Linked DNA regions of Oryctolagus cuniculus. The protein of the gene in region 1 purifies or fractionates together with the protein of each later gene. This does not show direct contact. Links are inferred from orthologs where the notes say so. Each region holds a gene or a part of one and is shown on either strand. Other genes may lie near its edges. The genes, in order: TSR1, RPS3, RRP12 and RIOK2.

Region 1 (4,377 bases):
TCTTCCTTCCATTAGTTCACCCCCCAAATGGCCGCTACGGCCCACACTGCGCCGATCCGAAGCCAGGAGCCAGGTGCCTCCTCCTGGTCTCCCATGCAGTTGCAGGGGCCCAAGCACTTGGGCCATCCTCCACTGCCTTCCCAGGGCCACAGCAGAGAGCTGGACTGGAAGAGGAGCAGCCAGGACTAGAACCGGCGCCCATAAGGGATGCCAGCGCCACAGGCGGAGGATTGACCGAGTGAGCCACAGCGCTGGCCCGAGGCATTCTTAGACTCACCCCACACACCTCTCAAGGTTAGGACTGCCATTTGATTTGCATTTGGAGCTATACACAGAAATGGCTTAAGAACCCATTTTCTTCCTAAGATTTATTTATTGAGGCTGGTGTTGTGGCTTAGTGGATAAAGCCACCACCTGTAGCACCAGCATCCCATATGGGAACCAGTTCGAGTCCCCACTGCTACACTTCCAATCCAGCTCCCTGCTAATACACCTAATAAAGCAGCAAAAAAAAAAAAATGGTCCAAATGCCTGGGTCCCTGTACCCACCTGGGAGACCTGGAAGAAGCTCCTGGCTTCTGATTGGGCAGCCATCTAGGGAATGAACCAGTGGATAGAGGATATCTCTCTTTTAAGACAGAGTTACAGGGGTAGGCACTATGGTGTAGCAGGTAGAGCCACCACCTGCAGTTCGAGTCCCAGCTGCTCAGCTTCCAATCCAGCTCTCTATTATGGCCTGGGAAAGCAGCAAAAGATGGCCCAAGTGCTTGGGTCCCTGCACCCTTGTGGGAGACCTGGAAGAAGCTCCTGGCTCCTGGCTTCAGACTGGCCCAGCTCCAGCCATTGCAGCCATTTAGGGAGTGAACCAGCAAATGGAAGACTTCTCTCTCTCTACCTATCTGTAACTCTGCCTGTCAAATAAATAAATAAATCTTCGGAGGGCGGGTGGGATAGACAGAATTACACAGAGAAGAAGAGAGATCTAGGCCGGCGCCGCGGCTCACCAGGCTAATCCTCCGCCTAGCGGCGCCGGCACACCGGGTTCTAGTCCCGGTCGGGGCGCTGGATTCTGTCCCAGTTGCCCCTCTTCCAGGCCAGCCCTCTGCTGTGGCCAGGGAGTGCAGTGGAGGATGGCCCAGGTGCTTGGGCCCTGCACCCCATGGGAGACCAGGAAAAGCACCTGGCTCCTGGCTCCTGCCATCGGATCAGCGCGGTGCGCCGGCCGCAGCGGCCATTGGAGGGTGAACCAATGGCAAAGGAAGACCTTTCTCTCTGTCTGTCTCTCTCACTGTCCACTCTGCCTGTCAAAAAAAAAAAAAAGAAAAAAAAGAGATCTTCCATCCTTAGTTCATTCCCCAAACAACCACAATGGCCAGAGCTGGGCCGATCTGAAGCCAGAAGCTTCAGATCAGACATAGTGAGAGATTTTTCAGTTACTGGTTCACTTCCCAAATGGGTCAAAGTATTTGGGCCAGCAGTGCTGCTTCCCAGGTGCATTAGTAGGGAGCTAGATCAGAAGTAGAGTAACCAAGACTTGAACCCACACTCCAATATGGGATGTGGGTATACCATGTAGTGGCCTAACCCACTACAACCACAACACTGGCCCAGGCCCAATTTTCTTACCTGAGATTCCTCTTCCATAAAATCCTCATGTTCTGTATCATCATATTCATCTCCTTCCCCACCACTGTCACCATCTTCATCCAAAATCCACTCAGCTTGGTAACTGGATGTTCCTTTGGGGACCTTCTTTACCACTTTGGAAGTTTCCTTCAAGAAGTCTGTAAAAGCCCAAAGAATTAAGCAAATTATATACCACCTTTTCCCATCACTCTGGGATTTCTCACCTAGACAAGATGCTAGATAGTGGGTCCCAGCATTGTGACAGAGCAGGTTAAACCTCTGCTGCAATGCTGGCACCCCATGTGGACACCAGTTCAAGACTTTGCTGCTCTATTGGCCCTGCACCCAAGCTGGAGACCTGGAAGAAGCTCTGGGCTCCTCGTTTTGGCCTGGGCTGGGCCACACCACTGTAGCCATGTGAAGAGTGAACCAGTGGATGGAAGATCCTTTTCTCTGTCTCTCCTCCTCTCTAACTCTTTCAAATAAATAAGTAATAAATCTTAAAAAAAAAAAAAAAAAGATGCTAGATAGTGCTGCTAACAATCTCTAGCAGACACTATGAGTAGAAAATATGTCCATTAATTTGGGTACCTCATACCCAGCAACACTTACATAGCTAGATAGATAAGCCTTGTTATAAAGTTTATTCACTGTAAGGCAATAAGATGGAGTGGGTATTGTGGCACAGAGGGTTAAGCTGCCACTTCAGACACCTGTATCCCATATTGCCAGTCCTACAGATTGAACCAGCAGATGGAAGATATCTGTCACTTTGCCTTTCAAATAAAAAGTAAATTAACATTAAAAAAAAAAAAAAAAAAAAACTTGGAGGAATGGAACAAATCTGTGTCTAATGTTTGCTTAATGCAAACACACAACATTTAGGGATGAGAGGACATGACATACCCTCAAGTATACCTGTATTCCGCTCCACCCTATGGGATCTTCACAGTGAGCAGCTAGACAAAATCCACAATCCCTCATCAGGTAAGTAACCTGCCAATACCAACCATTTGCTTCCCTTAGCTCCTCCTCAGTAGGCCAAGTCTGCTCCCCTTCCATTGGATCTGGGATAACCTCTGTTTGCAAAGATTCCTGTTTCTCAGGGTCTGCCTTCATTAGGACTTTAATGTCTTCTTCCATATCAGTTACAGCATCCATAGCACAAATCTGAAAACCAATCAAATGGTCAAACATTAACCCAAAACCCACTAAACCAGAAGATGGATAAAACAGAAAGCCAAAATCTGTCAACGTTTTCCAGATGGCTGCTTTATGGCATTTTAAGTCGTATTACTGCCTGGCTCTTGAGGCCTTTCTTAATCTGGTCCTACTCCCACTTGTTTATACCTCACTTGTTTGTGAGGTATTATTAAGCTGATTTCTTTAGAATTCAAAAAGAAACCCTCTGACCCATCACCGTGCCTAGTTCTGATATTGTTTCTATTTTCTAGCATATTCTTTGATCTTTTCAACTCATAAATTACACACGTGGCTCAAGCTGGATCTCTTCAGTAAAGCTTGCCAATTTATTTTCCCAGTTCCTACGGCATTTCTCTAACTTAACCATAGACTCTCGCAGTCTGTACTTCAAAGGTGTTTGTCATGTTTTTCTGACCCAATTAAATTCTCTAAGGAAAGTAACCACACCTTGAGTCTTTTATAAACACAGAGCCAGCAGCAGGGTACCTAGAAAGTACTGGAAACATGTCTGACTTAACGTATCTAGAGCTGATTGTTGCTGCCATACTCCAACTAGTAATCTCCTCATTGGCTTGAGAGACTGCCTTCTCTAAATTCAAGTTTCCATTCCATGCCAACTTACATACAAATCTGCAAGAACAAATCTTTAAGAACATCAACCTTGGGCTGGCGCTGTGGTGCAGCAGGTTAACGCCCTGGCCTGAAGCGCTGGCATCCCATATGGGCGCCCAGTTCTAGCCCCTGTGTTCCACTTCTGATCCAGCTCTCTGCTATGGCCTGGGAAAGCAGTAGAAGATGGCCCAAGTCCTTGAGCCCCTGCACCTGCATGGGAGACCAGAAGAAGCTCCTGGCTCCTGGCTTCAGATCAGCGCAGCTCCAGCCATTGTGGCCAATTGGGGAGTGAACAAGCAGATGGAAGACCTCTCTCTCTCTCTCTCTCTCTCTCTCTCCCTCTTCCTCTCTCTGTGTTAACTCTGACTTTTGAATAAATAAATAAATCTTAAAAAAAAAAAAAAAGAACATCAATCTTACCTCCATCGCCATGCCTGGGTCCTTTTGGGGTTTAATCACTCTAGTATTTAAAGGAAAAGGGTCCGTGGGGGCGTCTATCTGTTTCATCTGGAAATCACCATGTCCAACAATATGTAGCAAGCTATTTACATTCAGAGCCTGCCCACGAACATAGCCTGAGAGTTTCAGGGTGCCCACCAAGTTATTCTCTTCACTAGCCACAAAATCAGCAGTGTGGGCAAACAGGTAGGCCCGCCGATCTCGAAATGCAAGATGCCGCTGCTTCTGGTTAGCCAACTGCCTCAGCAGCATCCCTGCCTCCTGCTGAGTGTCTAACAGGAGGAGTTTGTCATCAGGAAAGCGCTTCTCCACTGCTTTACTTAGCTTCTTTCTGGCATCTATTTGTTTCTTCGGTGGAAGGCCAGAAACCCCCTGGACAGCTAGTGCTGTAAGCAAAAGAGAAAGGCTTTTATGACCTATTGCTTCCCTACATGAAAAGCCCCTAGGTCGCACAATCTAACAGTTCAACTGCGAGCC
Region 2 (3,679 bases), on another chromosome or scaffold:
CACAACGGCCGGAGCTGTGCCAATCCAAAGCCAGGAGCCAGGAGCCTCCTCCCGGTCCCCAACGGGGTGCAGGGGCCCAAGGATCTGGGCCATCCTCTACTGTTTCCCCAGGCCACAGCAGAGAGCCAGATTGCAAGTGGAGCAGCCGTGTTCGAACCGGCACCCATATGGGATGCCGGTGCTTCAAGCTAGGGAATTAACCCACTGCGCCACAGCACCGGCCCAAAGATGGTGAATTATTATTTAACTGAAAGGCAGAGTGAGAGAGACAGAGGGTCCATTCCCCAGATGGCTGCAATGGCTGGAGCCATGCCCACCATGAGCCAGGAGCCTCCTTCTGGTCTCCCATGCAGGTACAAGGTCCCAAGCACTTGGGCCATCTTCTACTGCTTTCCCAGGCCATAGCAGAAAGCTGGACCAGAAGTGGAGCAGCCAGGACATGAACTGGTGCCCACATGGGATGCCAGCATTGCAGGCAGCGGCTCACTAGGATGGTGAATTTTATGCTTACAGTAGTTAACAGGGTGTAAGCACAGGTAACCCAGCGCGCCCAACATCCTAATGGTGGGAAGCCCCCTCCCCGCGAGGGGTCAGAATCTGGCTAATCATTAGTGTTACAGGAGTTTCAAACCAACCTGTTCCCTTTGAAGTTCTGCCTGAATAAACCACTCAATCTTTTGTAAAATAGACACTGGTATGAAAGAAAAAAAAAAAACTTCAAAATGCCATGACAGGTAAACTGTTCTCCACAGAACAATGGCAAACAGCAGGACTTAGGAATGTGGATCCTGAAAACGGCTTTATACCACATGGCCAGATTTACTGCAGAGCTTGAAGCTCAGTGCCAAAAGCAAATCCCCTTATGGTTAGATACTGGACTACATGAATCTGTAAAGGACCCTCGGAGCACATGACACACACATACCACTGTAGTTACTTGAAGCAGTCCTCTTCTAAACCCATCCTCCTGACCCACATGACATCCACAATGCTGCTGGCTAAGCAGCCTTCACTGTCGTGGGATTTTCCACCCCACAGGATTATCTCTGCCGAGCTCGGCTCGGGTCCTTCCATTCTGGCTCTTGCAAAAACAATGGTAAAGCTAACAGAGTAAGGCATGCCCCCACAGGCCAACGAGACCCTCACCCCTCAGGCAGAAGATGGACAGTCAGTCAGGCTTTGCGTCTTTGTACAAGATTTTATTAAAGATCTTTATAAAGTAACATCCAGACTCCATACAGCTGCCAGGGAGACCCTGTAACCAAATAAAGAACAGTAAGAGAAACTTACATCTGAGTATTAGGTTCTTTCATTTACCAAGTCGGCACACACCCCCTCCAGGGACTGCGCGAAAGTTAGTCACAAAATAAAGACCAACTGAAAACAAACAAAAGCCCCAAATGTGCTGGGCGTGGGAGGCTCAGAGCTACCACTCAGAGGGACTACAAAAGGACAGAAAACCTAATTAATACCAAGAATGCCTTCAAAACCTTGAGCAACCCAGTAGTCAAAACAGAAATTTCTGAGAGGCAAACACACAACCCAACAGAATCACGAGCTAAATGGGCCCAGCTTTCCAACCGATATTCTCCCAGATGAAGCAAATATAATCCAACCATTATTCATCCAGTAAGGGAGAAGAAAAAGGAAACAGGACCCCCTCCTGCCCTGGGTGGTCCCTGCAGACATACCTGTTACGCTGTGGGGACTGGCTGGGGCATGGCAGGCGGCTCTGGCTTCCCACCCTTCTGCTCCGAGATGGGGGTGGTGGGCAGGATCTCATCTTTGGGTTCCACAATGCTCACGTGGTCGGGCAGGGGCTTCTTGGGGCCAATCTTACCACTTGGGTCCCAGGGCAGCATGATCTTCACCTTGATGCCCAGCACACCTAGGAAACCCCAGAGTTAGAACCTAGTAGGGTTCACCAGCCCCTACCACAACAGCAAGAGTTACCCAAGAACCTCTGATCTGGTCCCTTCTCAGACAAATGCCTCTAAATCAATCAATGAACAGGACACTTCTGCCCAAGGAACCCACGCACAGCACCACAGAACGTGGTACTGGCACAGCCCGAGGGCAGGACGTGACCTTTCTGACTCGTCATCGTGTCATCACCGAAGGGTACACAACTGACCTGCCTGATCAGCTGTCAATGCCTATGCAGGAAATCAATAAATCCCAGCTACTTCCAAAATGAATTTCCTCAAACCCTGGGGCACCCATGGAATGACACCTACCCACCAACGCCCACCTACACGCATTCCCAGTGGCTCACCCTGTCTGAGCAGCACATGGCGCACAGCGGTGTCAACATAGTAGTTAACAGGGTCCCCACTGTGGATCATCAGGCCGTCCACAAACTTCATGGACTTAGCCCTCTGTCCTCGCAGCTTCCCAGACACCACAACCTCGCAGCCCTTAGCTCCGCTCTCCATGATGAACCGCAGCACACCATAGCAGGCCCTTTGGAAGAACAGGGAGACATATTTGGGTTACTACTGAAGCCGGAACCTATCAACCCACTGCACCAAGTTAAAAACCAAAGATTTAGGGCAGCGTTGTGGCGCAGTGGGTTAAAGCGCTGGCCTGAAGCACCAGCATCCCGTATGGGTGCCAGTTCTAGTCCCATCTGCTCTTCAAACAGCACTTCTCGCCTCTTTCTATCACATTTTATCCTTGGGAAATTAAAGGCAAGCTCCTATTCCGAGTGCTTTCCAACCATGACTACAAATCAGTTAACTCAGAAAACTTAACCCACAGGGGCCAGTGCTGTGGCACAGCGGGTAAAGCCTTTAACACCCACATCACATGTGGGCACCAGTCTCGGCTGCTCCACTAATGATCCAGCTCCCTGCTAATGCACCTGGGAAAGTAGCGGATGACAGCCCAAGTGCTTGGGCCCCTGTACCCACGTGGCAGACTGGGAGGAAAATCCTAGCTCCTGATTTTGGTCTGGCCCAGCCCTGAGGGGAGTGAACCAGAGGATAGAAGACCTCTCTCTCTCTGTAACTCTGCCTAATATATCTTTTAACAAACTAAAAACCTCTTGATAGCCCTCCTCCAGGCCAATTACAGCAGCAATCTCAAGTGGTGAGCCCCAGACAGATTATTCTAATATGTAACCCAGGGTGCCCAAGACGCCCACAATGATGGGATCTGGCCCTGCTAAGGCAGCTGCAGTCAATCTAGAGCAGGCTGATTTTTAAGCTGGTAATTATGTATGGCCTGTGAAATATTATCTGCTCCCCTTCTTTCCAGCTCCCTGCTAATAATGTGCCTGGGAAAGGAGCAGAAGATGGCCCAAGTGCTTGGGCCCATCACCCAACGTGGGAGACCCAGACTGAGCTCCAGGCTTCTCGCCTAGCACCAGCTGTTGAAGCCATCTGGGAAGTGAACCAAGGGAGGGAAGATCTGTCTCTCCCCGTTATTATGTCTTTCAAATGTTCAGAGAAGTTCAGTACCTTGCTTAGTTTAAGAACTTCCATTCCCCTGCCAAACAGCCCCCACCCTGACCCCAGGGCTCTGTGCTAAGTACTGACTAAATTCCAAACAGCCAGGCAAGGCCTTCCAACCACTTCACAAACTTATCTACACGGAAACCTCACCAGCAAGCCCAGCTTTGGCGGCAACCTAACTTCACGCCTCTCATACCCCGTGCCACCTGTCACCTTACTATCTA
Region 3 (3,529 bases), on another chromosome or scaffold:
TTCCCCAAATGGCTGCAACAACGCTGCCTTCCCAGGTGCATTAACAGGGAGCTGGATGGGAAGTGGAGCAGGCAGGATTTGAACGGGCGCTATAATACGAGATGCTGCTGTCACAGCAGCCGCCCAGCCCATTGCTCCAGTGCTGGCCCCTGAACTGGCTTCATTCAACACACCTTGTGCTCAGGGCTGTGGCCAGATTACCTTTGCAAACCCCTAGTGCTTACCTCTTTTGACCTTTCTTGCTTACTCTCCTAGGCCTGGTTTCTGTTCACAACGCGTGTCAACAGCGCCACCTCTGGGCAAAGTGCAGTTCCTCTCTGCTTCCCAACCCAAGAGCAGGGACAACAAAGGCTCGGCGCCCGTTAAGACTCAGGTGCCCTTAGAGCATGAGAACAGGCGCCAGGAGGGCCTTCCGGGAGCATTATCAGAGCCTACGACATCAACTGGAAGGGACACTATTGTGGAATATGTGTGTGGTCTCATCTCACAGCGGAGAACTTGAGATGGGGAAAAACAGAACCTGTTCTTCACACTGGGGTGTGGTGGGCAGCCCTGGGGTGGCTTCTAGTTGCCTGTTAGGAAAGCACACGCAGCAGGGCTCCTGGGCGGTGGGAGCCCTTGTTTGGCAGAAAGAACGTTAAGAAACAGGGGAGGCGAGCTGGGCTGTGCTGGGCACGGGACAGGCTCAGGAGGCACTGTGTGGGGTCCCTGGGCAGAGACTCTGTGTCCAGGGGCAGCCAGCGCTGCAGCTCTAACTGGCTCTGAGCCGCTGTCTCCTTTTTCTGTCCCCAGTCCCTGGCGCCCAGTCTCCAGAGACCAATCCCAGAGCTGCACCTCCCGAGGCCACTTTTCCAACTGCAACTCTCATGTGAAGTTGGGCCGCCCTCCTGCCTGGGTGTCCCCCGTCGGCGCTCACTCTCCCTACCCCTGGAGCAGCAGGTCAGGAAGCACAGGGATGAGACACTGTCACGCGTGTTTATTCTATAGCTGGTCATAGTGAACCTCAGCCCCAGACCATGGCTGGGTCGAGTGCCCCATGGCCACGAGCAGCTGAGCTGGAGGAGGCCCATCTGCCCCAGTGCTGGGCCGGCCCTGGCAGAGCGCACAGCCGCCTCACGGGGACGCCCTGAAAGGGCAGCCCCATCTGGAACTTCCAAATCCCAGGCCCCAGTCCCAGCACCGCATGTTGAGTCCAGGCACTGGAGCAAGGCAGCTGGGGGCTGATGCGGGGCTGAGGCAGGCGTGCGGAGCTGCCCAGGGGCCCGGGGCTTCAGGGCCGGTGACCCTTTCTGCGGAGTCTGTGTCCGGCCCGGGTCCCCCGCTGCGCAGCTTTCACCAGGCCTTTGAACTGTCCCTGCAGCTTCACCTTTTTCCTGCGGGCGCAAGAACACAGGGTCATGTCTCTCGAGACAAGCGGCCCTTTAGCCCAGCCAAACACAGCTCGCTCCAGCACGGCAGCACTGCGGAGCAGGCGCAGGCCATGCCTGGCAGCACATGACCTGGGCAGACCACGCGTGGCTCCTGCCTTGATTTGGCCACTCCACTCGGCACCATGCTCCCCGGAAACAGCTCCCTTCCTCCCCTCCTCTGACGTTGGTACAGAGAAGTCACAGCTCCTCTCCACCCACCCTTGCCCCTACGGGGAACTGGTATTCAGCAGAAGCCTTCAGTGACTGAAGCTGAGAGCACCACTTCCCCGTGACACCTGTTCCCAAAGCTCGCCTCACCCAGCATCTCACGCGGCCCTCAACCCACCCCTACGAACCCTACTTAACAGCCAAAGTCGGAACCGACCGACCTTCCACCCACGAGGGATTAGCACGCCACTGCAGGCAGCCGCACACAGCGGCATGAATGATGAACGGGTGAGCGTGTGCGTGACAGCACCAGTCTCAGAGCAGTCAGCCCAGGCAGTGGCACAGGAGGTGCCCACACGCGGGCTGTGCTCAGAGAAAACTTAAAAACTTCCCAGAGAGGCGAGCAAGTTGTGAGCTTAACGGGAAGGCCCTGAGCTCCCCACCCGAGCCGGCCCGGGCGCCACCGTACCTGCGGTTGAGCTTGGTTCTGTTGAGGGGGATGTAGGCGTAGGGGTCGAGCCGACCTTTCTTCTTCACGTCACCCTTTGCTTTCTGCTCATCCAGAGACACAGTCAGTCCGCCAAGGGTGGAGGCTGCCCCTTCCGCCTCTGCCTGGACCCGACACGCCCCAACCTCTCCCCTCCCTTCCCTTTCCCGTCTGCTCAGGTGGTGCCCAAGAGCTCCTGTAGCCCCAGAGGACCAATACCCGGCCATGCCCCTTCTTCCCTGGCCTCAGTCCAGCCCACAAAGGTGCCTCTCCAGGATGAAGATGGGCACAGCTCCTCCCTGCCCCGACTCAGTACCAACAGACTCTACGCTCCCAGCTGCAGCTCTTACCTTGGCCTTGTATTCAGCCCCGGGCACAACTTTCTTGGCTATAGGGCGATGAATGCCAGAGCCTCCAGCTACAGGGAGAAGAGAGATCGAGAGTCAGGCAAAGCCATGGCCACAGGCACCTTCTCACAGTGGCCACAGAGCAGATGGGAACTTGGCTCTGACCCCTAACCAAGCAAGGCCACATACGTTCCTTGTGGAGGGGCTGGCCAGTGACCTGACTGCAGCACACACAATGCACACACAATCGCCCACTTCTGCAAAGTCACACCTGTCCCACCGTTCCAGGACAAAGAACACAGGCTCTGAGGTCACACAGACCCGGACCTAACTCCCTGCTCAGCCACGTACAGCTCGAGCCTCAGCGGAGTCTCAGCCCTAACGCAGGGCACGTTGGGTTTCCCACCCTTCTCTCGTCAGGCTTCACACCAGCAGCGAGGCAGCCAAGCGCAGCGCCGCATCCCACTGCACAGATCTGAAGGCTGAGGCTTAGCGCTCAGGGCAGCCGTGCAGGCTCAGCTGTCCTTTCCAGCCGGGACGTCACCAGAGTCGCCGGCGGGCTCCCAGAGAGCCAGTGCTGACTCAGGAGGGCTCCCTGGGGTGACCAAGATCTCTTTTAAAAGATGAGAATCTAGAAGCACAGAGAGGCAGTGTGACCCGCTAAGGTCACACACTAAGCAGCAGCGGGGAGGCCATCCTGAAGTAGGCCTCTGGCCTCCTGACTGCCATGACTGTCCCCGCACTGCAGCATCTCAGAGCAGGCAGGTGGGCTGCGTCCTGGCTTGTGGGGGCTGTAGGAGGAACCGTGAGGTTTGTCAGCAGCTGAGGCCACACCTGCTACTGGAATCAGGAGCTTCTGGGCCCCAGGAGCCCAGCCTGCTAGATGCACAGCAAGGGCTCTGCGACACGGGGCGGGGGCAGGAGCCCTGCAGGGTGGCCCTGGGAGGAAGACAACAAAGGTACCTCGATCCTTCTAGCAGCTGCTATAGGGAGGGCAACGGCCCAGGGGCCCTGAGACAGAGACTGAAACCCTCTGGTCAGGCCCAGCACAAATCCAGCTCCCATCAACACTGGCCGTGGGTTTCTCCAAACCCGGCTGACTCAGGCCTGGACAAGAT
Region 4 (4,256 bases), on another chromosome or scaffold:
GGCCCAGTTCTAGCCTTTGCAGCCATTTGGTGAGTGAACCATCAGATGGAAGACCTCTTTCTCTTTGCCTCTGCCTCTCTGTAACTCTTCCTTTCAAATAAATAAATATTAAAAAAAAGAAAATGGGAAAGACAAAATTCTAGAATAATATATTCTGCTGATCTCGAGGTGCTTCCATAGCCTTGAATTCAAGGGTAAAGTACTCCCCAGCACTGCCCCGCCTCCCCCAACCCCAGGGATGTTCCACTGAGGGTGTCTGTCTACTGAGATGGGTTTTCTAGGGCATGTGATATAAAGGTGAAACTGTTTATTATGGAAACAAGCTTTGTCCTCTAAAACGTGCAGAAAGTTTTTTGGAGGATAAAACTCAAAACCTGGTTGTGGGATGGGCATTTTGCATGGCAGGTTAAGTCACTGTTTGGGATGCCCACATTCCATACTGGAGTGTTTGGTTCTAGTCTTGGCTACTCCATTTCCAATTCGTCTTTCTGCTAATGCATACCTTGGGAGGCAGCATATGATGGCTCAGGTATTGAGCCCCTGCCATCCACGTGGGAAGACCCAGATGGAATTCTAGTTTCTTGGCTTCAGCCTGGCACAGTTCCTGCTGTTACAGGTATTTGGGGAGGAAACTAGTGGATGGAAGATCTCTCTCTTAGTCCCTCTGCCTCTATCTTTCCCTGCCTTTCAAATAAAAAAACAAACAAAACCAAAACAATACAAAACCCCAAACCTGGTTGTAAGGACTGTCTTTTCTGATACTTCCAAGCAACAGGAAGACACATCAAATTTGTGGAGCTTATTAACTTTCCAGAAGAGATCCTAAGGCTGAACACAAGCTTGAAACCACCCAAGCATATTGGTTTTCCTCCTTTCACCTCTCAACCTTATTACTCTATGACTTTGAGCAAGCAATTTTACATTTAAAGATGTTTTCTCATCTTTAAAATAAAAGCAAGGTAACAGAATCTGTTATAGCTCCAGTGTAACAGAATTCTATATAAATGGTCTCAACCTTAATACTTAGGCTGCTAACTGGACAATCTTTTAGATTCTATTCTGGATTCCCTCCAATCCATTCAAACACTGACAATCACATCATTGTAGTGTTCAAAACTTACAGTAGCTTTCCCCTAATACATCACATTTTTCTTTTTTAAATTAAAATCCATCCTTTAATTCAGCCATCCTTTAATTTAGTCCTTTGCTGCACAGCACCCATCCCCCATCGACGGTCTGGTAGCACACTGCATTCGTTTGTCTCGGGGATTTTCTGCATGATTTCCTCTCTGCAAGCTCTTTTGCCTTCTACCTGTTCAACCAAATCCCTCTTCCACAAAACAACTCCCAAAGCATGCTGGCCTGCCCCTCAGACTGTCCTTGGGATTTCTCAGCAGTCATCAGCGGGACATCTACTCTGGGCTGCCATGTCATTGCTCTGTGCCATTCTTGCCTACCCAAATATAGCTGAAGCATTCAGTCAGAAAAATATACCCTAAAAATATACATATTCTCTCCTGATATCCCTTTACACACTAGCTGATACATGAAATACTGAAGTATGAACACACCTTTCTCTTCCTAATCTGGGCCAAATCTCTTACCAATAGCAGGATTACAGATTCACTTATTTCAAATAGTTTTTAAAGAAATGGAAGCACATAATATTGTCATGAATGTCCCAACTAAAATGAATACTCATTTGAATTATGAGGCATACTATGACATAAAAACCTACAACAATCTGATGCTAAACATAGAAGATGTTAATTTTAATGCCATTGCTATTTACAGTATTAAGGTAAAAGAAAAAGTCTTAAAATGTGACAACAGAGTCTTTGTGAGTGACTGAGTTTCCCATGCTCCCCACACCCCTGGCTGTGAATCAGTGCATAACCCATGGCTGTTCTCAACTGTGATCTCTTGACTCCTTACAAGGTTGCATCAAGTGGCTCCCGAATTTCCTAAAACACACCAGGGCAAACTGATATGGTCTGCTGCTCTCTAGGGAGCTCTGAGGATGCAGGAAGACTACTGAGGACAGTGAGCTTTAACCACCAGAGTACTCAATCTGTGACTGTGAAATAAACCCATTAGCCACTGAGACCTAATGAATTCACCTCTTGATCCTTTGGAAGTGGCTGGAAAATCTGAGGGGCAGCATTGGCCAGAGCTCTTCAGACACCTACAGGATCTGTCAGAAAATTTACTAAGTTCTTGGCTGAATGAACAGTTTTCTCAATTTACATTAACTTCTGATTGGTATCCTTTAAACATTTTTATGGCTCAGGAGATCTGTGCTCAGGAACAGATCAATGGTTCCCAAGTTGGAACAAATATAAACCATGTTTTGTAGGAAAAGCTTATTTAATGGAAATAGTAAGTAGACTATGTGAGGCAAATCTTGAAAAATACACAACAAAGGACTGCAGTCGAATCGCACTGACCCTGAAATTAGGAAAGACTGTCAGCCTACAGAAGCTTCCTGTGGGTCACGCTAGCAATACTTCCTGAGCACACAGCATGTAGGCGCTGTGCTGAGTTCTTCTCAACAAGTGGACAAGTGTTAGTTCATTTAATCTTCACCACCCTGTGACAAGCACTATTTAATGTTCCCATTTTACAGTTCTCAAGAGTGAGACTAGAGTGGTTATGGAAGTTACTTAAAGTCTGGGAAGTGGCGGAATCAGGATCTAAATTTGGACTCAGAAAGTGTTCTATCACAATATATAGCTTTATCACATTTGTGGAGTTTTTTGTCATTGTTCACTATGGGTGCTTTAAAATGTGACAATTTGCTAAGGCAGATCCTTTTTCATCGATGGTTATCAAAAAAATATCTTTTAAAAATAACTGTTGTGACTGGATTCTAGTTTTCATACCACCAAAATATAATCCAAAAGAAATTAAATGCCTTACCAGATCATTTATTACCAAGTCTTCAGTATCACTGTTCAAATAGGGCTGCACCTCTAGTTCTGATTTGAAGTATTTGTCCTGTGGTCCACATGAAATCTGAAGCTGTTAAGGGTAAGAACCATGTTTATCTGCCTTCTAAATTTCTCAAATAATAGTGAGTTTTTTATATGGTGGGTTCCCCAAAGTTGACTAAGTCAATTCAGAAAAGCTAAACAGGATGAGGTCATAGTTTTATTCACAATTTGCTTTCAGCACTCTGGATAAGAAAATGTACTCCAAAATAAACATGTTGTGGTTCTATTAAGCTGTCTTCAACAATAATTTATGCTATAAAAATGCTTTAGAGCAGATAAAAAAACCACTGAATTTAAAGGCATATCTAAAATTCAAAGTGGGGTTATACACATATTTTGAGAATCCAATATTCAAGGGAACTGGATTTGATATTTTCTTGCATTTATAAATTTATATGAGTTTATTAGATAATAGAGGATCTTGCAAATAACCATTAGAATTAATTTTCCAAAGGTGAACCTGTTGTTTGTATCACTCTCAGGAAATCTCCTGTATTCCAACTGGTGACTATGAAGTGACACTGCCATCTAGTGGCAAGTTTTCACTAAAGGTGAATGCATTTACTTGAGCACCCACCTTCATATCTTCACTGATTATAAACTCCTTTTTAAAGAAATATCTAGTTTTTAAAGGGAAAATAATTTAAAAAGTTTTTCATTTATGCATTCATTTGAAAGGCATACAGACTGAGAAACAAACACACACAATACACAGATTCTATTTGTTTGGTTCACTACCCAGATGCTAGTAATAGCTAGGGCTGGGCCGATTTGCTTTCTGGCTTCAGCCTGGCTGGGCCATGGCTGTTTCAGGCATCTAGTCAGCAAATGGAAACTCCATCATTCTGCTTTTCAAATAAATGAACAATGAATAAAACATTGAAAAAAAAAAAAAAGGGGAACATTTCTCTCTTCATCCCCTCTACCTCCTTCTACCCAATCTTTCTACTCCTGCTTGGATCTGCATAAAAGCTGGCAACTGTAAATACCATGTTGGGACTCTCTTTTAAAGTTTCTCTTTCCAGGGCCATGTTACCAATGCTAGTGGCACAACAGTGTTACGGATCAATCTATTAATTGATTACATATTATTTCAACAAAAATGAAAGGCAATGAACTTTTGCAGTGGCCAAATAAAATTCAGCCACCTCACTGGAATTTCAGAAAGGCTAACGGCATTACATTCATCATCCTAATAGTGTTTTATTGAATGCATATAATGTGTTAGGCACTCTTCTAACTGCTTGATGTGCATGGCTCATG

What was found.
Region 2: the proteins of TSR1 (region 1) and RPS3 purify together in Homo sapiens (co-immunoprecipitation; 4 studies listed by BioGRID and IntAct, with this or other methods). This does not show direct contact. The link is inferred for Oryctolagus cuniculus from reciprocal best matches to the Homo sapiens genes TSR1 and RPS3.
Region 3: the proteins of TSR1 (region 1) and RRP12 purify together in Homo sapiens (affinity purification with mass spectrometry; 3 studies listed by BioGRID and IntAct, counting the BioPlex papers as one, with this or other methods). This does not show direct contact. The link is inferred for Oryctolagus cuniculus from reciprocal best matches to the Homo sapiens genes TSR1 and RRP12.
Region 4: the proteins of TSR1 (region 1) and RIOK2 fractionate together in Homo sapiens (co-fractionation; 3 studies listed by BioGRID and IntAct, with this or other methods). This does not show direct contact. The link is inferred for Oryctolagus cuniculus from reciprocal best matches to the Homo sapiens genes TSR1 and RIOK2.

The regions. Positions count from the first base shown.
Region 1 is NC_091448.1:47,829,697-47,834,073, forward strand, and holds part of TSR1 (pre-rRNA-processing protein TSR1 homolog), read right to left. Parts: intron 4,287-4,377; coding exon 3,862-4,286; intron 3,847-3,861; exon of another isoform or gene 3,734-3,846; coding exon of another isoform or gene 3,593-3,733; intron 2,797-3,592; coding exon 2,637-2,796; intron 1,785-2,636; coding exon 1,627-1,784; intron 1-1,626. UniProt on the Homo sapiens protein: Required during maturation of the 40S ribosomal subunit in the nucleolus.
Region 2 is NC_091432.1:66,521,640-66,525,318, reverse strand, and holds the end of RPS3 (small ribosomal subunit protein uS3), read right to left. Parts: intron 2,464-3,679; coding exon 2,276-2,463; intron 2,121-2,275; exon of another isoform or gene 1,975-2,120; intron 1,889-1,974; coding exon 1,695-1,888; 3' UTR 1,692-1,694; intron 1,256-1,691; 3' UTR 1,179-1,255; downstream 1-1,178. UniProt on the Homo sapiens protein: Component of the small ribosomal subunit. The ribosome is a large ribonucleoprotein complex responsible for the synthesis of proteins in the cell. Has endonuclease activity and plays a role in repair of damaged DNA.
Region 3 is NC_091446.1:32,465,882-32,469,410, reverse strand, and holds the end of RRP12 (RRP12-like protein), read right to left. Parts: intron 2,483-3,529; coding exon 2,415-2,482; intron 2,130-2,414; coding exon 2,047-2,129; intron 1,374-2,046; coding exon 1,271-1,373; 3' UTR 957-1,270; downstream 1-956.
Region 4 is NC_091445.1:19,816,882-19,821,137, forward strand, and holds the end of RIOK2 (serine/threonine-protein kinase RIO2), read right to left. Parts: intron 3,022-4,256; coding exon 2,770-3,021; 3' UTR 692-2,769; downstream 1-691. UniProt on the Homo sapiens protein: Serine/threonine-protein kinase involved in the final steps of cytoplasmic maturation of the 40S ribosomal subunit. Involved in export of the 40S pre-ribosome particles (pre-40S) from the nucleus to the cytoplasm.